Nothobranchius furzeri: one gene and its partners. The protein of the gene in region 1 interacts with the protein of each later gene in a biochemical or structural test. Links are inferred from orthologs where the notes say so. Each region holds a gene or a part of one and is shown in the gene's direction. Other genes may lie near its edges. The genes, in order: anapc2, pttg1 and ube2s.

Evidence for each region.
Region 2: the proteins of anapc2 (region 1) and pttg1 form a complex in vitro, tested with the Homo sapiens proteins (2 studies listed by BioGRID, with this or other methods). The link is inferred for Nothobranchius furzeri from reciprocal best matches to the Homo sapiens genes ANAPC2 and PTTG1.
Region 3: the proteins of anapc2 (region 1) and ube2s form a complex in vitro, tested with the Homo sapiens proteins (3 studies listed by BioGRID and IntAct). The link is inferred for Nothobranchius furzeri from reciprocal best matches to the Homo sapiens genes ANAPC2 and UBE2S.

What each region holds. Positions count from the first base shown.
Region 1 is NC_091745.1:17,481,292-17,485,444, forward strand, and holds the start of anapc2 (anaphase-promoting complex subunit 2), read left to right. Parts: upstream 1-1,353; 5' UTR 1,354-1,536; coding exon 1,537-1,635; intron 1,636-2,158; coding exon 2,159-2,408; intron 2,409-2,577; coding exon 2,578-2,899; intron 2,900-2,977; coding exon 2,978-3,110; intron 3,111-3,175; coding exon 3,176-3,395; intron 3,396-4,153. Other genes in the region: E3 ubiquitin-protein ligase RNF25, read right to left, coding at 407-478, 693-805. UniProt on the Homo sapiens protein: Together with the RING-H2 protein ANAPC11, constitutes the catalytic component of the anaphase promoting complex/cyclosome (APC/C), a cell cycle-regulated E3 ubiquitin ligase that controls progression through mitosis and the G1 phase of the cell cycle.
Region 2 is NC_091741.1:85,724,074-85,732,111, reverse strand, and holds pttg1 (securin), read left to right. Parts: upstream 1-3,294; 5' UTR 3,295-3,393; intron 3,394-3,933; 5' UTR 3,934-3,939; coding exon 3,940-4,024; intron 4,025-4,103; coding exon 4,104-4,237; intron 4,238-4,757; coding exon 4,758-4,839; intron 4,840-5,266; coding exon 5,267-5,431; intron 5,432-7,548; coding exon 7,549-7,628; 3' UTR 7,629-7,691; downstream 7,692-8,038. Other genes in the region: septin6 (septin-6), read right to left, coding at 1,033-1,147, 2,726-2,755. UniProt on the Homo sapiens protein: Regulatory protein, which plays a central role in chromosome stability, in the p53/TP53 pathway, and DNA repair. Probably acts by blocking the action of key proteins.
Region 3 is NC_091745.1:76,822,797-76,830,683, forward strand, and holds the start of ube2s (ubiquitin-conjugating enzyme E2 S), read left to right. Parts: upstream 1-3,611; 5' UTR 3,612-3,786; coding exon 3,787-3,789; intron 3,790-4,721; coding exon 4,722-4,869; intron 4,870-7,421; coding exon 7,422-7,612; intron 7,613-7,693; coding exon 7,694-7,887. Other genes in the region: josd2 (josephin-2), read right to left, coding at 1,910-2,032, 2,114-2,156, 2,229-2,367. UniProt on the Homo sapiens protein: Accepts ubiquitin from the E1 complex and catalyzes its covalent attachment to other proteins. Catalyzes 'Lys-11'-linked polyubiquitination.

The sequences.
Region 1 (4,153 bases):
GCCCCACCAAATTAAAATATGTTTCTAGACATTTCTGCTTAGGACCAAATGAGAACCACTATTGTCTACTCAGTTTAATGAATACACTGGCTGCACTTTCCAATTCATCACTCAGTCATTTCCTGGAAAAATAGATACTATTATGTTTGTTTTGATTGCTAATAATTTTTTATACAGATGCATTTAATTCTGGTTGACTGTCATTAAATTAAACCCATGGTAAGAGTTAAAAAATATATATACATATATATAACATAATCAGCTGAGTTTTTTCCCATCAAATAGATTTGGGAGACATTCTTATCCCTTTGTTGCAAATATTTAACGTCTTCATATCATTATTTGCTCACATATAACCCAACCAGTGATTTATAACACAAAGATGTTCTGAAATGAGCAGATTTACCCCTCGTCCCTTCTGTCCACCTTCAGCTCGTCCAGATAGATGGACTGCAGAACCTCGATCTCAGACTGAACACTGTAAACAAAAACGGTTTTCGGCTTATTTACTGTTTTTAGCCTGGCCCTTTTGACGTAACCTGTTAGCTTCCCCTTCAGCTAGCTACAACACCTACGACATTTCATCCGATTGTACCGAGAACAGCAAACCTTAATGTGCGGGAGCGTGCGGGTAAAATTCAAAGCGTGTCATGAATATTTTGAAGGAATTTTTGCCATATCAACAAACTCACTCGTACTCGGTTGCCATGATGATGTCTCTGCTGCTAGCTGCTGCTAAGGCGGATACGGTTTTCACACAACCTGTCAAAATAAGAGACACGACGGCGTTTAAAAGACATGTCATGATCCAGTTTTTAAAAATGTTTATTTATTTATTTATTATTTATAGCTGTATTTGTGTGCATTAAGCATCTATGGTCTAAGGAGCTTTGTCTTCAAGCAACTCAAAGAAGTCCAGACGCTTTTCTTTCAAAGCTCCTTAGACTACAATGACCTGGATGACTGAGAACCTTCACAGACATTAAGCATCTATATTACTCTCTAAGATATGTCGAAATATTTATTGATATTAACATCCGTTTCGAAAGATTTTATTTAAATTTTATACAAAAATAAGTACAGTTTCATAACATTTGGCCTTTACTGACACCTGGTGGAGTTTGTATAAGCAATTTTGAAATGTTTTATTTTGTAGTTCAGTTCTGTCAACTTGTGTCTGTGGCCGGCTGTAGTGATTATTCTAACCGCTAGAGGGGGCGAGTAAACATTAAAACCGATTCAAACTCAACAAATACTTTTTACGGACGGTACCTGCAGGGGGCAGTGTCCACCCCTGTAGCATGTAAGTGATAAAAAAAAGTAGAAGAAGTCAACCCGCCATACCATGTTCATATCTGTATTGTAAATTACTATTTGCTTGAATGGAAAAGTTATTATTTAGTAAACTCGTTGAAACACGGTTGAGACACGGGGCATGCTTTTTACACATAGCGCCGCGGTAAGACAAGACATGCTGAGGTTTAAATGCTGAATCTACAGGAGCCGGTTCGGCATTTGTGAAGAAAGTGTCATAAAATGGAGGAAATGATGATGGAATCGGATTCGGTGGAAATGTCTGAGCCCGGAGCGCTCCAGGGGCTCGCTGAGGCGTGGGAATCCGTGACTGCAGCTTTGGTGAGTGGGTCAGAGCCTCGGACACGAGCAACCAAACACTGAATGAAGTGCTGTCACAAGACTCCATTCGTAAATCACACGATTGAATGATGTTTTGGATTTTACATTGGTTTATTAAGGGCTAGACACAAAACTGGCGTTATAAATAGTCAGCAGGAGTATTCGGTGGATTTCGGCTTACATTTGTTGACGTCATCGTGTTTACTGACAACTTTACTCCATGCAAAGAAAAATGGGTTGACTACTAACAACTCAATATTCATAAGTTTGAGTCAGCCATTTAGTTAAAAACAAACACAAATGACATGTCGAAAAAGGCTTATATTAAACACCTATATTATAATAAAATGTGTATTTTATGTTGGAAATGATTTTGCTCTTTTACTCAGTTCTGATTCCATCTCTCATCCATTCCTACATTAACCACCTGCCCCTGAATACCAGACATCCAGCAGCCCTTTTCTGGTTGGAGATGATTCTGTGGTGGATTTCATACCACCATTCTGTTTGGGTCCTTCTCTAGGTGTCTTCTGGATGCCCGGTGTCTGACCAGAGCCTCTCTGACTCCTTGCTTCTGCTCTGCAGTCATGGTTTGGGCCGACTGCTCGGGATCTGGCTGCTGGAAACTTTGCAGATGCGCCTGTCGTCCTCGGTGGTTCCAGAGTTCTGGTCTTGCCTGAAACAGCCGGAGAACGAGCTGGAGGAAAAAGATCGAGCATGGGTTCTCCTCACTGCTTTTAGGACTCTGTTGGACCGCCTGGAACCTTTTCTGAGCAAGTAGAACAAATACAGTAGTGATGACCTTGTCCTTGAATCTTTAAGATTTTATTCCAACTTCTAAAGTTGTTTGGATTTTTTTTGCTTTCCAGACTTTCACTATATTATTTTGTGGATAAAACCAAAGAGGAACAGGTAATTAGTTTCCCATCTCCCTCCATGCAGGTGGTTTGGAGAAGCTTGGGGCGTGGCAGGATGAGGGTCGTGGTGGTCTGTGTGGTCCAGGTCCCAGTGGCCTCCAGGAGCGAGCCTTCACCACCATCAGAGCCCTCCTGCTGTTCTCTCCTCCCCCCATTCTGCAGGAGCGAGTGCTGGAGTTTTACAGCAGGACTTTCTCCGTCTACATGAAACTGGAGGGCAGCGATGAGGATGTGGCCGAGGCTCCAGACAGCCCCAGTGGAGGGTCCTGCCCAGGGTGTGGGGTCCCGGTCCTGAGGTGCTGGTGTCAGGAGGCCCTGGAGCAGCTGCAGGAGCTCAGCCACATACTGTGAGAGGATCTCACTGCTGATTGTTTCTGCTGTTGCTTCGTCCGGATGAATGTTTGATCAGCTGTTTGTGTTTGTAGACTGAAGCTACAGCTGCTGGAGTGGGTCAGCTCAGAGGCCATCACCTGCATCCTCCACAAGCTCATCGAGCAGCGGATGGAGCAGCATTGCCGGGGCGAGTACGAGCGCTCCTTCTTGCTGGACTTCCAGGAGGTAAAACCCCTTTTCCACCGTTTCCTCTCCTGTCTTCATGTTCTGACGCTCTTCTGTCCCTGCAGTGGCTGGAGCTGGTTCTTGGCTGGCTGAGCAAAGTGTTCGCCAGTGAGGTGGACGGAGCCACTCCTGTTCCTGCTGCTCCCAGTGGTCCCATTCAGTCCAGCATCCAGGGCACCCAGCCTGCCAGCTCCATCATGAAGCAGTGGAGATGCCACATGCATCAGTTCTTCTGCAGGATCTACGTCAACATGAGGATCGAAGAGCTCTTCAGCATCATCCGAGGTGAGACCTGAGGAGAGGAGGTCATGTTTTATCTTCATTATGTGGCTGATGCAGTGATGGTTTGTTTGTGTTTATAAATAAGGTCAGAACGTTAAACCTGCTTTCTGAGGCTTTGTGTTTAACGTTATCAGAGATCTTCTGTGTTTCATCAGAGCAACAAGCAACCATCTGGTCATTTAGAGATAATTTAAAATGTTTAAATTTTTATTGTTTTAAATTAAAGGGACTGTACGGAAGTGTGACAGCCAAAACATGTATAGAAATAATAAATGTCTTCTTCATACATTCTCCTGCAATGCCCTGGTCCTGTAGAATGAGCCCTGGCATTTTTACTGTGATTGCCTGTTTTTCTGTAAAATCACAGAAAAAGAGAGATGCTCGGGTCGAGCAGGCTGCTTCATGCGCGTTCACGCTCAGGCATAGCCCGTAGCATTTGCTATCCGTAGCTTTAGCAGCAGAGAGAGAGGCAGTGCCAACTTCCTAACGCCTAGTAACAAACCTAGCTATATTTCTGAGGACCCTTAGCTACTTTCTGTAGAACTTTCTTCTAGATATTTCCTGCAAATTAGCAACAAAATAGCCATTTTCGCTTCGAACCGTTCTTTGAACGTTTCAGCTGTCATCAAGGATATAAAAGTTATAGATACTGTGAATGTTACTAGAGTGTAGCTCACCTTGTAAGATGTCTGACTCTCATGCAGAAGACCCGGGTTAGATTCTGGATGTGAACATAGTTTATTTAGAGTTTATTTTTTACA
Region 2 (8,038 bases), on another chromosome or scaffold:
TTGAGCAGTGTGTAACTACTACAAAGGTTGTTTACAGTACACATTATCTTTGATGGCTTGTGATAAATCACACTTCCTACAATTTATTATTTTACATAATCCATCTATTGTTGTAACGTGGAGAGGGAGGAAGAGGATGGGAAGTGGGGTGATCCACAAGCAGCTAACACATTGTGAGGTGATTTTCTTTCCCTTTACCATGACTGTTTGTGTATGCAGGTGTACCACTGTGCATGGAATAAACGAGCAAACCGTAAAACAAAGACTATAAACTGAGAAAAGTGTATTTATTAATACTTTTGTGTGCTGATGTGCACAGAACTAGGTTATATCTTATTCTTCAGCAGAAAAAAGCAACATAGTCCTAAACAACTCAAAGCAGGACAAAAGTCTATTGTTTTCTGGACATTTGACAGGTCCCAGACAGGAAAACACATTAAAGGGAACTTTACAGATTTCACACGGTGACGGTGGCACAGGTTAGGTGCTCGCCCCGTAATTGGAAGGTTGCAGGTTTGAGCCCTGCTCAGTTTGTCACTGCCATTGTGTCATTGGGCAAGACCCTTAACCCCCCTTGCCTGATTGTGGTGGTCGGAGGGGCCGGTGGCGCCAGTGCTCAGCAGCCTCGCTTCTGTCGGAGTGCCCCAGGGCAGCTGTGGCTACATCGTAGCTCATCTCCACCTGGGTGTGAATGGGTGAATGACTGATTGTGTTGTAAAGCGCCTCGTGTGTGTGTGTGTGTGTGTGTGGTGGTGGTGGTGGGGGGGGGGGGGGGGTCCAGGAATCTAAAAGGCCCTATATCAAATACAGGCCATGCACCATTCAGTGTGCAGAAGATCCAAAAAACAAGACTGCCTGAGTTATGATGTGTGTGTGTTTCCTACTTCCTATAAAAACCAGGAGCATCTTCCTCATACTGGTAAACTGAACCTATAAATGAATTTCATTGATCTGTGTTTTACCACATGAAGGTGCTGCGTGGAAATAAAATCACCAAGTTTTGAACTCCATGCTGATGGTCTTTACACTTACCAACGCAGAGGATGTTAAAGCAGAAGCCACGGTTGACAGACTTGTTGACCAACTGGTCAGGCATGCTATCAAAACCAACATGGCCGGCCAGAGGCACAGCCCGAACTCCTTCACCCTGAAAAACAAAAGAAATCAACAACAACTATCAGTTAATTGGTCTCTTTACAATGATAGGTTTTGTCTGGGTGCAATTTCAGAACAAGATTAAGACGCACTTAAAAAAAGCCCCATGATGGAGCCATGTTTTCCACCAGAGATTGTTAAGAGAATAAGCCTGAGTTCAGGTGAAGTCATTCACTTCCTGTTTTCTCAGCAGCAGCTCTCTTCCGTCAGACGGTTCAAAACCACTGTGTACATATATGGAAAGACACTGCTGTTCATGTCTAGATAAGAAAGATCCAAGCAAATGTAATAAAAACTCATTTAATGATGATTAAAAGCTTAAGAGCCAGCTCTGTGACTGGGATTAGATGAATCTTCCGCTATACTTTTAAACACACACATCAAAAATAAAAAAAAGGGTCAACGTGCTGCTGTTAAAAGTGTGTGGGGGTGTTTAGCTGGTAGTAAGCATCCCGATCGCTGTGATTCTCGTTTCTACTGCCTACATTTATATCAAGAGCTACAGGGAAGCAAAGAATTTACGTTGGATGCCAGAAGCAAAAGCTCTCCACCAGCTGAACCTCAGACAACCGGCTATTATGTGGCTTAGCATAACAGTGTTGTTGTCCAATTTGACAAAGACTTTGAGCGAAAAATACTCTGTAAATTTAAAATACCCAAACATTCTGGTGTCACTGAACAGTCGTGGAATATTCTGAAGCTGGGTTTGAACAGCTGAGGACCTGAAGAAATCTGGGACTAATGTAACTGAACAAACAGCCTGTTTAATGTTGAGAATGCAAGCACAACATTCCTGAAATCATCCTCGCTTTTCATGACGCTCACAGCCAAGAAGCACACAGCCGGTTTCATTCATTGAGCCACAATGGGGTATCAAACTGCACTATCTTGCTATTCTAAGAACTCCCTCTGGGTTAAGTGGCTTCCTTTCCCCACTTAAAAAACAAGCTTGGATAACAAGGAGTGTGTAAAATCCCCTTTCCTCTCCAAAACAAGTCTTGAACTCTTGTCTTTGTTTTGCAAGCAATCAAGACAACGCCTGTGTGAAAGTTAACGGGTTCCTAAATAAAACACGGTAACGGAAATGAGCACCGAGGTTGTGCTGAAACGGGGGCTTTCAGAATGAATGGCCTACCGATCGATCTGTGTGGATCCGTCATTTTTAACGATCCAGCACCTACTAAACTCAATTAAACATTTAAAATCACACAATGTGCCATTTCGCCATGCATTTGTTTCAAATAAACACCACATGAAATCTAAGGGCATTTGCAAATGCAATGCTAAAGCTGTTTCACCGGAAAGGTAAATGCACGAGGTGATGCGCCTTGATTTAACATCATCAGACGAAGAGCATTTTAGATGCATAATTTGTTATCTAAAAACACGATTTATTATAAACAGACTCTAAATTAGCAACGCAATGGTGAATTTCGAATGTGAACACGGGTGTTAGCAAGCTAACCGACTCCAAAATAACCCGTTACACAAATAAGTTGAAACGATTCCCAGCATATCGAAGATGTAATAAATGCATACAATGGATTTTAGAGTCAAACAGACTACTTACGGCTTGCCTTGCTATCTCAGTTGACGCCATGGTGAGTGTTAGTAGCCGGAGGACGAACCCACTGTCGCTCTGACTTCAGCAAAGGAAGCTGCGCCGCTACGCTGAAACCTGGCCTGCTTGAAATGTACCATTTTATCAAAGTATGTCGCATTTCTTATAAAGGTAGTAGCTGAACTTCCAATGACAATACATATGTATCTGTTAAAACCGATGACTTCTATTAACAGAAGCGGCTTCTAAATGATGGCAGAAGACATAAAATAACACATAAAGAAAGTCCCCCATCGAATGCTTTAATGGTTTCGTCTGATATGAATGGTAGTGAGCAGATGTGATGTAACTTGATAAAATAAAGAAGCACACAGACACACATAACATCCTGAAACAAATTAGTTTAGTTTATAGTAGTGGCCGACAATTTTGTAAAGCATGTGTAGCCATGAGCGTAAATAAATCAGGTGTTACGACTCACAATTAATCTTCAATGCTAACAACACTTAGTAGGCGACGCCTATTTTAGTCACGTGCGTGATATTGGCCAATAGGAAGGATGCCGTGAATTTAAAATTGGCTCGCGGTCGTTCGTTCGTACACAGTTTCTTAACCTCAACCGAGTGAGCAGCACGGTCAGGTCGAGTCTACTGAGTTAGAGGTTGTGTTTCGTAGAGGTGAGTTATCAAAGAGAGCAGTTCAAGTTAAATTTATAGTTTATTTTCTTTGAATGGGTCAAGATAATATCCATAAACCCGCGAACGATTAAGACGTTATACAGCGCTAGCATATAAGCTAACATTTGATTGTTTTGTTTTTTTAAATATCTGTTTAGCGGTCAAAAAACCGTTGTTAACGTTTGTATGTCAGTGTTCGGGAAAAGTTTAAAAAATAAACACTTGTCAAAAATTTCTGATAGGTTTGATTGGTACTCAGGTGATCTGTTTTCAGTAAATAAAGGTGACTAACTTGAAATAAAATGTATATTTTGGGATTGGATAAGTGTTCTATAAAATAATTGCTAAAGGCTTCAAACTAGATATTTAAAGTAGTTTAAAACAAATAAGCTTGTATTAAATTAATTTAGGATTTGGCTAAATCTGTTTTGCCTTTTTCCCCCACTGCTGAAAGTTTACAAAGCTCACTTTTAGCTTTGCTGTTTTGAAAAACGTTTTTGCATTTTGGTGCAGAATATAACGTTTGCATGTGTTTGTCAGATAAAAATGGCAAACATCCTTGCAGAGCAAGAAAATGCTGGTCTTCATGTGCCTTCGCTGAAGATGCGACAGCGACTTCAGTCTGCTCCAGGTATTCTGAACTGAATATTTTTCCTATGTTAGCAGGTGATGTTGGATGTGAGTTCACATTTTTTTTATTTTTCTACCAGAGAAACTTCTGAATTCAGAGGCAGCTAAATCTGTTAAAACACCTCTGCCATTTGGTCGTAAAGCTTTTGGAGCTGTGAACAAGGTTTTGACCCCAGCAGTCTCTGCACAGGAGAAGACTCTATTGAAGCCACAGGTTGGGTTCTGGACAGTCTTCAGTTCACGCATAAAAAAATATTTTGACAAAGTATTATTTGCATCTTTTTGTATGAAGTTCAAATCACAGCTAAGATGCCATACTAAACTAAAAGTTCAGGGGTCTAATTTATCAAATATTGCGTAGAATCCTTAATAAAACTGTACTTAAGCTCAGCAAAAAAAATGTACTTGTTGCTTATTCTGTGTGAGCACAAAGTGGTACAAGTGATAATGCTGCTGGAATTAATAATTTTATCATTCTCAGCAGCAGCACTGCAGGTGCTCTCCATGTCCAGAATGTGCGTAAGCAAGGTCCTTGGTCAACTTAAAGTTGTGCACATTTTTCCGCTAAGTTCTTTCATAAATCCCAAAGTTTGCGTGGAAAGTTGCTTACGCAGTTTTCCGACCCCGTTTTGTGCGTAAGCAAGCTTGATAAATGAGGCCCCAGATCTTTGCCATCCATTTCTCTTTACCTTGTTGTACCAAGTCAATGTTTTGTTTTGTTTTTGTTTCAATAGGAAAACAAAGTCGAGCCTGCTCCTCAAACCAAAATTGAGGAATATCCAGAAATTGAGAAGTTTATCCCGTATGACCCCTTGGGTAAATTGAGTTTGACTTTTATTCAGTTGCCTAAAACAATACATTTCAGTGAAGTCGATACTTATTTCCCCCTCAATTGCAAACTATTATACACACAGTGTATAATAGTTTGCAAAAGATGGCTGATGTAGAAATATCAAGCTTCTAGGTACGAGTTCCCCGCATTGTTGCCACTAAATAAAAATTCCTGCTCAAAATAATTGCTCAGATTTTTAGTTTACAAACTCAATAGATTTCCACCAGCATCTGACTTAAGCTGGTCATTATTAAAGTTGAGCATCTATACACTGCAAAAGAGGCTCCAACACACGTGATCTAATTTCCTTCCTATAGAAACTTTAGACAAGTTTAATGTTCTATATTGCTTTGTCTTGTGCTCGGAGGACTGTTTTCTGCATGTTTTAAACAAGGTTCTAATGTTTCCCAGAGTTTGAGAGGTACAGCGTCCCTGAGGACTTGATCCCTCTTAGCTGCTTGGCACTTCCTGGTTTGGCCTGTTTTCCCACAACTCTTTCTAAGCTGTGTGAGGAGGATTTGACAGAGATGGCTCCACTTCCAGACTTGTCACCCATAAAGATGCCAAAATATTCAGGTATGCACTTAATATTTACTCTTAACTGTTTGCATTTATGCTTCATAGTTACTAAGTTGATTTCTAACTCAACTTTCTAAAAGGCAGACCACTGATGATGGCTTAGCCCACCTGATAGAAACTCTTGACTTTAAATGTCTGAATATGACTCTTTAATTCCTGAACTGTTCATCTTCCCTCGTGGCATAATGATGGATAATCTGGCAATTTTGTGAAACTCTTTCAAACAATGATTGTCGAGCTAAGCATTAACAGACAACATACTCTAATGGTAACTGTCTTCCTTGAGGGCCAGTATCCAGCATGTTTTAGTTGTTTCCCTGTTCCAACACATGATTTTAATCAGCAGGAGCTTGGTGAGCTGCTGAACAAGTGAATCAACAAAAACATGAGTGGTAGTACTCTGGGACCAGGCTTGCCTACGCCTGCTCTCATTCAACACACTTCAATCACCTGTCATCAAGCTCTGCAGAAGCCTGTTAATCACCTGCTGATTAAAATCAGGCACATTGAAGCAGGGAAACTAGTAAAACGTACCGGCCCACGGGGAAGGGAGTTTGGATCACTGATATGCATCCCAGTGTTTCCCTTACATAGGCGTAGCCGTGGCGGCCCACCATGGCTAAAATCCCACTGCCACGCCTACAAGGTCCCAAGTTTTATTTCTTTATTTATTTTTTGCGCCGTTTCCCGAAGAAGCAGCAGGAACTACTGTGTTGTTGCTTGTGATCACAGCTGGCAGGCAGCAAGGAGGAGGCAGGGTGGTTACAGCTAGGGATGAGTGTACGGATAAAGCATTTTTGACTAATACGAGTGTAAAACTCGTAAATATCTGTAATCGTGCTGAAGGAAAATCCTCATTGGGTAACTGTCTTTACGCTCTGTGGTTGGCCAGACACATAGAGCGCCCGCCCCTCCCTACACACAACTCTGCAGCTGAGACGGGAGCTCAGTCCGCTCGGCCCAGGCATCCACGCACACACAGACCGTAACGGATCTGTGCTTGCTTCACTGTTGTTCACGTTTCTTCGGTACTCCTTAGGTTTTCTTCAGCTCGCCTCTTTCAGTTCAATATTTAAATTTACTTTTTTCGTAACTTACATGGTGCATTTGACAAGACGGAGCGAAAAACTGCTCGTGCATGCGTTGGTCACTGCCTCTGCTCCGGTCAGGTTTTTTAAATTTATATTTACACTCTTCTCCCTCTCTCACACACCTTGATCAACATTGTTTTGTTTAACTGTGTATAGGGAAAAATGCCAACAATGTTGGGAAACAAATCAGTTTAATCAAATTAAAATTTAAAAAAGTTGTGTCTGGTTCTAGTATTTCATATATCCTAGTTCCTACTGCATGAGTTCAGATGTATTAATTCATGCACTTGAATAATATTCTGATTTTACTGAAACTGGTTCTGTAATAGTTCCTTTACTATTGTGATCAAAAATATTTAATCTCAATTCTGAGGCTGCTCTGTAAATAGTTTTAAAATAAACACACATAGCAACTTCTGATCAATCCATATCAATTTCAGACTTAAAATAATGTATTGATGTAAACCACACACACTAATTTCCAAATAAGATGCATTAATCTGTATCTCCTTTGATCTGCATTAGTGATATTTTTAGCACCAGAACAGTGAAGCAAAGAAACAGATTCCTGAGTTTGTTAGTAATTTTATTTATTAGGTGCATCTGACCTGTTCTATTCTCTGAAATGAGATAAAATCAGTGCTTCTATGGGTTGTCTCCTCTCTGCACTAGAAACATGTACTTTATTTTAATGTTCACTGTAATGCATCTTGATCTTAACAAATGAATAACATCAAAGATATTGGTCAAGGCCAAATATGTAAATTTGTTTCGGTCATTGAAAGCACATGAAACTATGAATTCACCACAGATTATTGGCCAGCTGAGATGGATCATCTGAGTCATAAAAGCAGAACCTTTGAACAGGGTAATCTGTGGCTGTGAGGTAAATGTTGGGTGTAGCTTTGTGATTTAAGACTTATTTAAATCAGTGTGTAGCACTCTGTAATGATAGATGTGTGCAGTAGCTAATTGAAGCCTGAGTCTGGAGCACATCATTAACCATACTGTCTTCATTTTCAGATGAGCGTTTGGAGCTGGAGGATTTCCTACAAACACTTGATGAGCTGACAGAGCTTCCTCCAGAGCCTGTTGACTTTTAGTGTGTTTTGTTTTTTTTGGTGTGTTTGTCATTTTATTCAAATAAAGTTGTTTTACCTACTGTTCCTAATCTGCCATGCATCACTTAATGATTAGCAAACTGGGTATCGCGACTTCCTGCTTTAAAGTCCATCAGAGGTCACATGAGGATTATCATGGCCCTTTGTGCGAACAGAATGAACCTTGTCTCAGTTCCTCTTAAAAGTTGAATCTGCTTTACAAACAAAACTGAAAGCGTTCAGTTTAGCAAACCTGATTTAGGTCTTGATTGGTGTAATCAGACCTGACCTGAGCTTTGGGCACAGCAGGTGAGTTAACGTGGCGGCTGGTTGGAGGAAACGGTGGTTTCAGGTTAGTCTTTATGGGTTTAAAATGTTCCTAAACGTGTGGAATTGTGTCTTTAACACAGGAA
Region 3 (7,887 bases), about 59 Mb from region 1:
TTCAGCAACAGCACCGGACTCCCCAAGGATGTGCCAGACTTTAAATCTGCTTTACTAATAACAAATATCGGCGAATGCTGATATATATAAAATTAAAAAGAACGGTAAATATCGGTCTCTACTCCTATTTTCTTTAACAGTTTTGAATTTTTAATACTTGATCAGATAAGTAATTTGTTTGATTGACTTTGGTTAGACGTCTGATTTTAACACTGAGCCGTGCACAAAATTCATTTTTAACACTTGCTTAAATTCAGTGTTCAAAAACTGATTCAGCGTCACAAATTTTGTGCATCAAATGATGTCATTAGTGACATCTGAGAATGAAAAAAATGTTGGAAAACATCTAGATATCGGCCCAAAAAATTGGCAGTACTTATTGGCCATTGGCTGACCATGATCTCTACAAATCAGCAACAGATAAACCAATACTGGTCGACCTCTACTAAAATCCTCTCAATGCGTGTTTGTTTACTGGTGCATTGGCTGTTTGCTTGCCAAAAGCCGCTACGATTATGACTCGATGGCTCGTGTTTTAATTAGGTTAATGGCAGACAATGTAAAGAGTGGCCTCTTTAAAAACAAAGCCCATATCTGTACGAAACAGCACCGCTGCTGTTTCCCCTCCAGGTTACTCTTGTTTTTCACAACAGTGATTTTTTATGTGATGCAGCAAATCCGTTTAAGTCTGCTTCAAGCTCGTGGAAGCCTGAATGGCATTTACAACAGTTTTAGGCCAATTTTTTTGTTTTTATCAAATTTTCTTGCCTGAAATTAATCATCCTGTAGGTCAAACCCCCTAAAATAACTAGTTGGATTAATAAAAGCTCACAGAAAACGTGTTTTCATAGCGACAGCCAGTCTGTGATAAGACTGGTAGCGCAGATTTAAAGCAAGGCACATCCGTGGGCAGCCCCGTGCTGCTGTCAAATTTCATCTAAATCTATACTTACGTTCCTGAAAAACACCAACTTTATAAATGCTCTAAAGCATTATCGTCAAACGGCAATATTTTTAAATTTATTTACCTGTTTTGTAGTTTAATTTGTTTATTTGTTTGATTAACTTTGGTTAATAGCTTGAGTTTAACTCATTCACTGCCAATGACGACTAAAGTCATCATTTTAGATCCAACCGTTTACTGCAAATGACGACTTTAGTCTTCATTTGCATTATTTTACTGTTTGAGCATCGGAACGAGCCCCAGCGCTGAGAGAACAAACATTTAAGCCCTGAAGCCGATCTTCATCCGCATACGTCACACGTCACGTGATCAGGAAGCAGAAAATCTATGTGTTAGGAGATCGTTTAGGCCTGTTCCTGTAAAAAAAAGTGAGGCGCGAACCGGAAAAGCGTCTGCCGATCATAATTCAACAACGGATTATGAAAGAACGGATAACGCTCGAAACACGCGGATTCTTCCCGATGTAAGAGGTGAGTCTCCTCTTTGTTTTGGCGTCGACATCATCCTAGCGCGCAATGTTCTGTGACTCTTAAAAAAAACAGTAAAAAACGGTGAGAAACGCTGGCAGCGAAGTCCGTTAGCGATCAGGAAACGGCTGGCATTGAATGAGTTAATACTTGGCAATGCACAAAATTAATAATCATGAGTCGGTTAAACTCTGTTCAGAGAGTAGCTCAGAAATGTTGAGCACCTATTGTTTGAAAATGACATTTTAACATCGAGACAAGTCCGAAAACATCTAAATATCGGTATCAGTTGGAGAAACCCACATCGGTCGATCTTTAACCAGAATCTTGGTTCTACCTTTTGAGTTATTGGTGGAAAGAGAGATTTACAGTAAAAGTCGACTGAAGTACAAGAAAACCCATCTTTTCTCTGTTTCTGGAGCTAAGAGGAGCAGCTGACTGTTGCGTCTCCAGCAAACACGCTGGAACATTCCCATACCGTTTACAGATGTCATCGGCGGTCTCCTTGGTAAACACTCGCTCCTGGAGCACGTTGTTGAGTGCGTGAATCGCACACAGCTCCAAGCGTTGCTTCTCGTGAAACACTTCTCCTTCGTTCATACTTCAAAACAGAATAAGTACCGTTGTCGATCAAAATAAACATCATTACAGGCAACCATGCCGCTAGTTAGTATCTGCTTACTCACTCGTCCCTGTGCCTCCCAATGATTCTTCTCTCTGTTTGGCTGCCGATGGTTAGAAAAAGAGCGGCACGGTGACCTGTTAATAATCAACAACAGCCAAATAAAGCCACCGACCTGCTGATGAAGCAAGTCCCCGAAACGATGCTGGAGTCTGGTGGCTACATCCAGAAACCGGAAGTAGCGCCCTTGTTGTGTTGTGTTGTTGATTAGATGACTTCACATATGCATCCAGTCTTAAATAAGTAAACAACATGCGTAGATTAGATTCCGTTTAACCTATGAGAACCGAAAATAACGTAAAATTAGCGGTGCAAACATCTTATTTTATGGGTTTCAAACGAGAAGTGCTAACGTATTCCAACGGGTTGAAATAAACGGTGACGTTGTGCTACAGCGCCCTCTAGTGGTCATGATTAGAAACGGGCGCATTACTAGAGGTGGTGATAAAATATTACAAATGTGGTCCTGGCTCATAAAAAACACCCTAACTACACATAACTGCGTGTTAATCCGCCACATAACTACACTCTTATGAATCGCACACAGTACAGTTTTCATTGGCGTGTTTTGTATTGAATGAGCTTCAACTCTTCCTGATTAGATTTAACACATGACTGTTGTTTTTCAGTGATTGTAGAGCACTGAACCATGATTAGAATGATGAACAACACATTTGAACTATTAGATTATCCAATTGAAAATTATGGATTGGCAGTATCTTTGGTTTTCAAAAACAAAAACGTTCTCCTTCATAAGTAATATAAATGTCAGCGACAACATATGTGTAATGACACGAAATCAATAGAATACATTACATTTTCAAAAGTAAAAATTATCACTCTCTGTTACTTTTATGTATAACAACTTCTTTAATGTATTTTACAACACTTTTATTGTATTTATCATTTATGCATTTTATCTTATTTTATTCTAGATAAGCATCTATCTATCTATCTATCTATCTATCTATCTATCTATCTATCTATCTATCTATCTATCTATCTATCTATCTATCTATCTATCTATCTATCTATCTATCTAGCTGATATATTGGATATGACAATGAATATGTTAGTACTTATGTGAATAAAGAATAGTAAATGTATAGTTATCTGCCCCGAATGTAATGTCTAACTTAAAAAAACAGTTCGTGTTTTAATAATCAAACGTATTCTGATCATTAAAAAATTCGTGAAATCCACAAATCCTTTAGTAAATGTATTTGTTGCGTTCTGAACTAACAGGGAACCTTTTAACTCCACCTTCCCGGAGCACCGCCAGCGTGTGCTGACATAAAAGGGTGCCGATCCATTATTAATCAAGGGCGTGTTTTTTTTTCTTTTCAAAATGACCAATAGCTGATTGGTATCAGTCCTGTTTCGGCGCGGTTTGGCTGATTGTGCTCCTACTGATGACGTAACAGAAATACTCTATCTTGTTTGGCTGTAATCGTCTGACGCGTAATTTCACTAAAATGCCGATTGGTCAATGGCAGTAGCTTAAACTGAGAAACGTAATTTCGTTCCTGGGAAAAGAAGAAAACAAAAACAGTTAGACTGGACTAAGTTTTCAACCAAGATTGTATTTCTTTTCGAACTTTATTAGAAAACACGTTTTTTTTTATCTGACACCAGGCGGACATTTATCACCTCAACAGATCTCTTTTTCGAAGATGGTAAGACTTAGCATCATGCTAACAGCTAACGGTTGCCTAGCTTGAGTCGATGTTAAGTCGTCGAAACATTTTCTTTATTATTTGAGTTTTGACTATTTTATATGTATTCCGGTAGTTGTTGAGAAAAGAACCTTCATTTTAAAACCTATCCAACGTCTTTAGTATAACTAATATTGGAATAAAATAACAAGAAGCGTTGAGGTTACCTGCTTAAAGCTAGGCTTGTAATGCTAGCTGTAACATAAATGTACTTAAGTTCATTTGATCGTTAGCGGACATTACAAACATTTGACTTATCTAAAGGTGTAGTTTTAAAAGACGCGTTCATACTGAGCTTGCCCTAAACGTGTTGATTGCTGAATTTGAAGTAACATTTCCAGATACTCAACAAGATGCGAACTAATGTGCCTTTTTTTGTATGAATATTATGGAAATAAAATAATGTTTTGCGTAGAAAACTTTCCTCTTTTATCTCCGTGTGAGATAAATAGTTCCCCAGCGAGGTTGTAAAACTGTTTTATCTGATTTAAACGATCAAAAATGATAATAAATTGGCAGAAAGACTGGCAAATAGGTAGAAACTTTGACACAATGCATTATTTTCACTTTAAACATCTTCTGTACGTTCATTTTGTGTATCTTTTTAAATACAATACAATTATTAATATTACTAATATTGTTTAGTTTTTGTCTATGCATAATTTTAAGTGTAACTTCTGATATTTCGTGTTTATTTATTAAAAAATTCAAATTAGCAAAGCAAACAGTCATTTATGACGTGCATTATTGAGTTAAAGCCATTTTAACGTTGGCCATCAACAGTGTAAAGGTGAAATTTATATATTTTATTTAAAAATATTGTTTCATGTTTAGAAATTCAGTGTTCATACCGAAACTCTTTAGTGCTAAGTCGTTGCTCTGTCTCTCCTCAGAACTCTAATGTCGAGAATTTGCCCCCTCATGTTCTGCGTTTGGTCTACAAAGAGGTTTCCGCTTTAGCAGCAGACCCACCTGAGGGCATCAAGATTTATCCCAGTGAAGAAGACATAACTGAACTCCACACGTCCATTGAAGGACCAGGTAACAGTCAGGATGCAACAAAAACTAAACATCTGTTATTGTTAGTTTAGTTTGATTATCTTACACACTTCCCATTTCAGTTGGTTAAAGAGACAGTGTGTAGTTTTTACTAGGGATGCACGATATATCAGCATTAATATCAGTATCGGCCAATGTTAGTCATTTTTTAACATAGCGATATCAGTCCGACAAGTAAAACTGGGCCGGTATTAACAAACAATATTTTTTCCATCTTGTTTCTGTTTGTGTATCTGTTTCCGAGGGTAAGGGGGGTGATGATGTGTAATTGTTTAGTCCTGTGACAGTGAAGGTAACAGATAAATGTGTGTTTATATAATATATTGCCAATTCCACTTAACAGAAATGAAGCAAAACATTCAAAAATTCAGCTTGCATAATTTCAGTCTATACAAAAGTAGCTGATTTCAGAAGCATAAATCAGTATCGCAAACATCTGTTATCGGCCGTAACGGTGATATTAATATCGGTCCAAAAAATTCATATCGGTGCATCCCTAGTTTTTACTGTCAATCTCTGAAAAAATCCATCAAAACTTTATTGAAAATAAATAAAGTTATGTCCAGTCGTTGAAAAGTATTGGCGGCTTTGTACCACAAACCCATAAGGTAGTTCTCATAGGGTGCGGGTCTGGTGTTTATTGGGGACACCTTGTTTCCTTCTGGCTGGCTCGGCGTCCTGTGCCTGTTGATGACGTCACACTAGATGAATGGCTGACTCACAGAAGTTGCGTTACCACGTTCACAAGCATTTAGGTAGTAAGAAACACAAATTTAATAACAAAACTGCTAAACTCTTTCCAAAACATATGTGGAAGAACAGAATCGAAAAAGAGATGCAGTATATTTTGACCGCGCGGTATTGTCGTAGTATGGTGATGTCATCAGCAGGCGCAGGACACCGAGAAGATCCAGAAAGTACAGCGTAGGGCTGCTCAATTAATCGAATTTTAATCCCAATTACGATCTGAGTTTTGAACGATTATAAAAACAAGCCGATTATTTGCTCCTCCCACTTGCGCTGCCCTGAGTTGCAAATGAAGCGCTCCTCCGTGTTGCCAACTTATCGACTTTGACGCTATTTCTAGCAGCTTTTCAGACCCCCTTCTTGACTTTTTAAATCTTAAAAGTACCTAGCGAACACCTCAGAAACATCTCTGGTAACCCTTAGCTACTTTCTGGATAACTGTCGTCGACATTTCTGCAGGTTAGCTAAACACTCCGCCTGCGCTCCGGACCGTTCTTCAGGACATTAGGAAAGGGAATGATGTAGTGATGTGTCAGTCGCTAAAGAAACGGCTCTCGGAGTCGGCTCCTTGTTGGAGTAACTAGAGTGAGTGACACACACACCGCACCTGCGGGCTCCTGAGCCGCTAAAAATGGCTAAATGTGCGCGTGCGGCGCGCTAAACACACGTGCATCTTGCCCATGATTGCTGTGAGACCGGGTTGGGGGGTGGGGGGGTGCAGCTGTGGTTGGGACAATTATTACATTAACTGATGGACTTGTAAATAAATAGTTTATAAATAAGGTAGAAATAAGTTCCTCACACTGATAACTAATAACTAACCTCTCTGAGGACACGGTGCTAGTGCACTCTCCTACAGCACCTTGACACGACTAAATAAATGTTACGCAACATTTTGTGAACATCAATTTATTTGCATGTATTTGTTATAAATGCCGCTGTATAATTCTTGCTGTCAGTATTTGCAGGATATTGGTATTTGGGTCTGTACTGGTTAGACTTAAATGAGTTAAACCAAGGTCTATAGCCCTTGGGTCATAAACTATGAGCTATTTGGTCTTTTTATTCTGGGAATCAGGAGTTATTTTAGTGATCATCTTGTTTCTTTTTTATTTTTGTCCTGATTGTGCCCTGAGCAATTTTATGACTGATCAAAACAAATAAAATCAACATAAATTGAAAAATTGCCTTAAATAATCGAGATCTCGATTTCAGTCACAATAATCGTGATTTTTATTTTTGCCATAATCGAGCAGCCCTAGTACAGCACCAGGAAACTACACGTTGCATGCCTGTTATGGAGTTGAATGAGTCTGAGAAATCGTGCAGAGGTCGCTCGTTTTCGGCTCCACAGGGAACAACGTTTACCGTAATGTTTTAAACTAGCGTCACTGACAGTGATATGGTGTAAAACTACCCTGAAATGTATGTACTGCCCCCTAGTGGCAGGAGACAGCACACCGCCACTTTCTACCACTAGCTGGCTCCTGTTTGGCTTCATCTCCTCGTTTGGAAAGTGGCTCTTTTCTCCCACGAAGCACAAATAATGTTTCAGAACTCTAAAATCAGTGGTCTCCATGTTTTCATTCCTGCAAATATGCAGTCATTTACTCTTCTTATCTAATTACTTCTATTATAAATGTTTACATCTGTTTTTGTCCAGAAATCATGAAAATATTTGTTTTTCTCCTGAGCTGCAGATCCGTGATCCTGCCCTTTAATTTTAGTTTGGGCTTGGCTTACTCGGGCCACGCTGTTCGCGCAATGAATTCTTTATGCTTTGACAGAGGGAACTCCGTTTGCTGGTGGCATTTTCCGAATGCGTCTGGTCCTCGGGAAGGACTTCCCTGCTGTTCCGCCCAAGGGGTATTTCCTGACCAAGATTTTTCACCCCAACGTGGGTCACAAGGGAGAGATCTGTGTCAACGTGCTGAAGAGGGACTGGAAAGCAGAACTTGGCCTCAGACATGTCTTACTTGTAAGCTCGATTGTCAGTTTGTCCTTTTTCGGAGCATAATGCTCTCTGACACCATCTATCTCTTCCTTTTCCCTCCAATAGACCATCAAGTGTCTTCTCATCCATCCGAACCCCGAATCTGCTCTGAACGAAGAAGCGGGGCGCTTGCTTTTGGAGGATTACGCGGAATACGAGTCTCGAGCCCGTCTCCTGACAGAAATCCACGCTCTGGGTGCGTCCGGAGCGCCTCAGGACCCTAACGACGGCCCACAGCCGAAGAAACACGCTGGCGACCC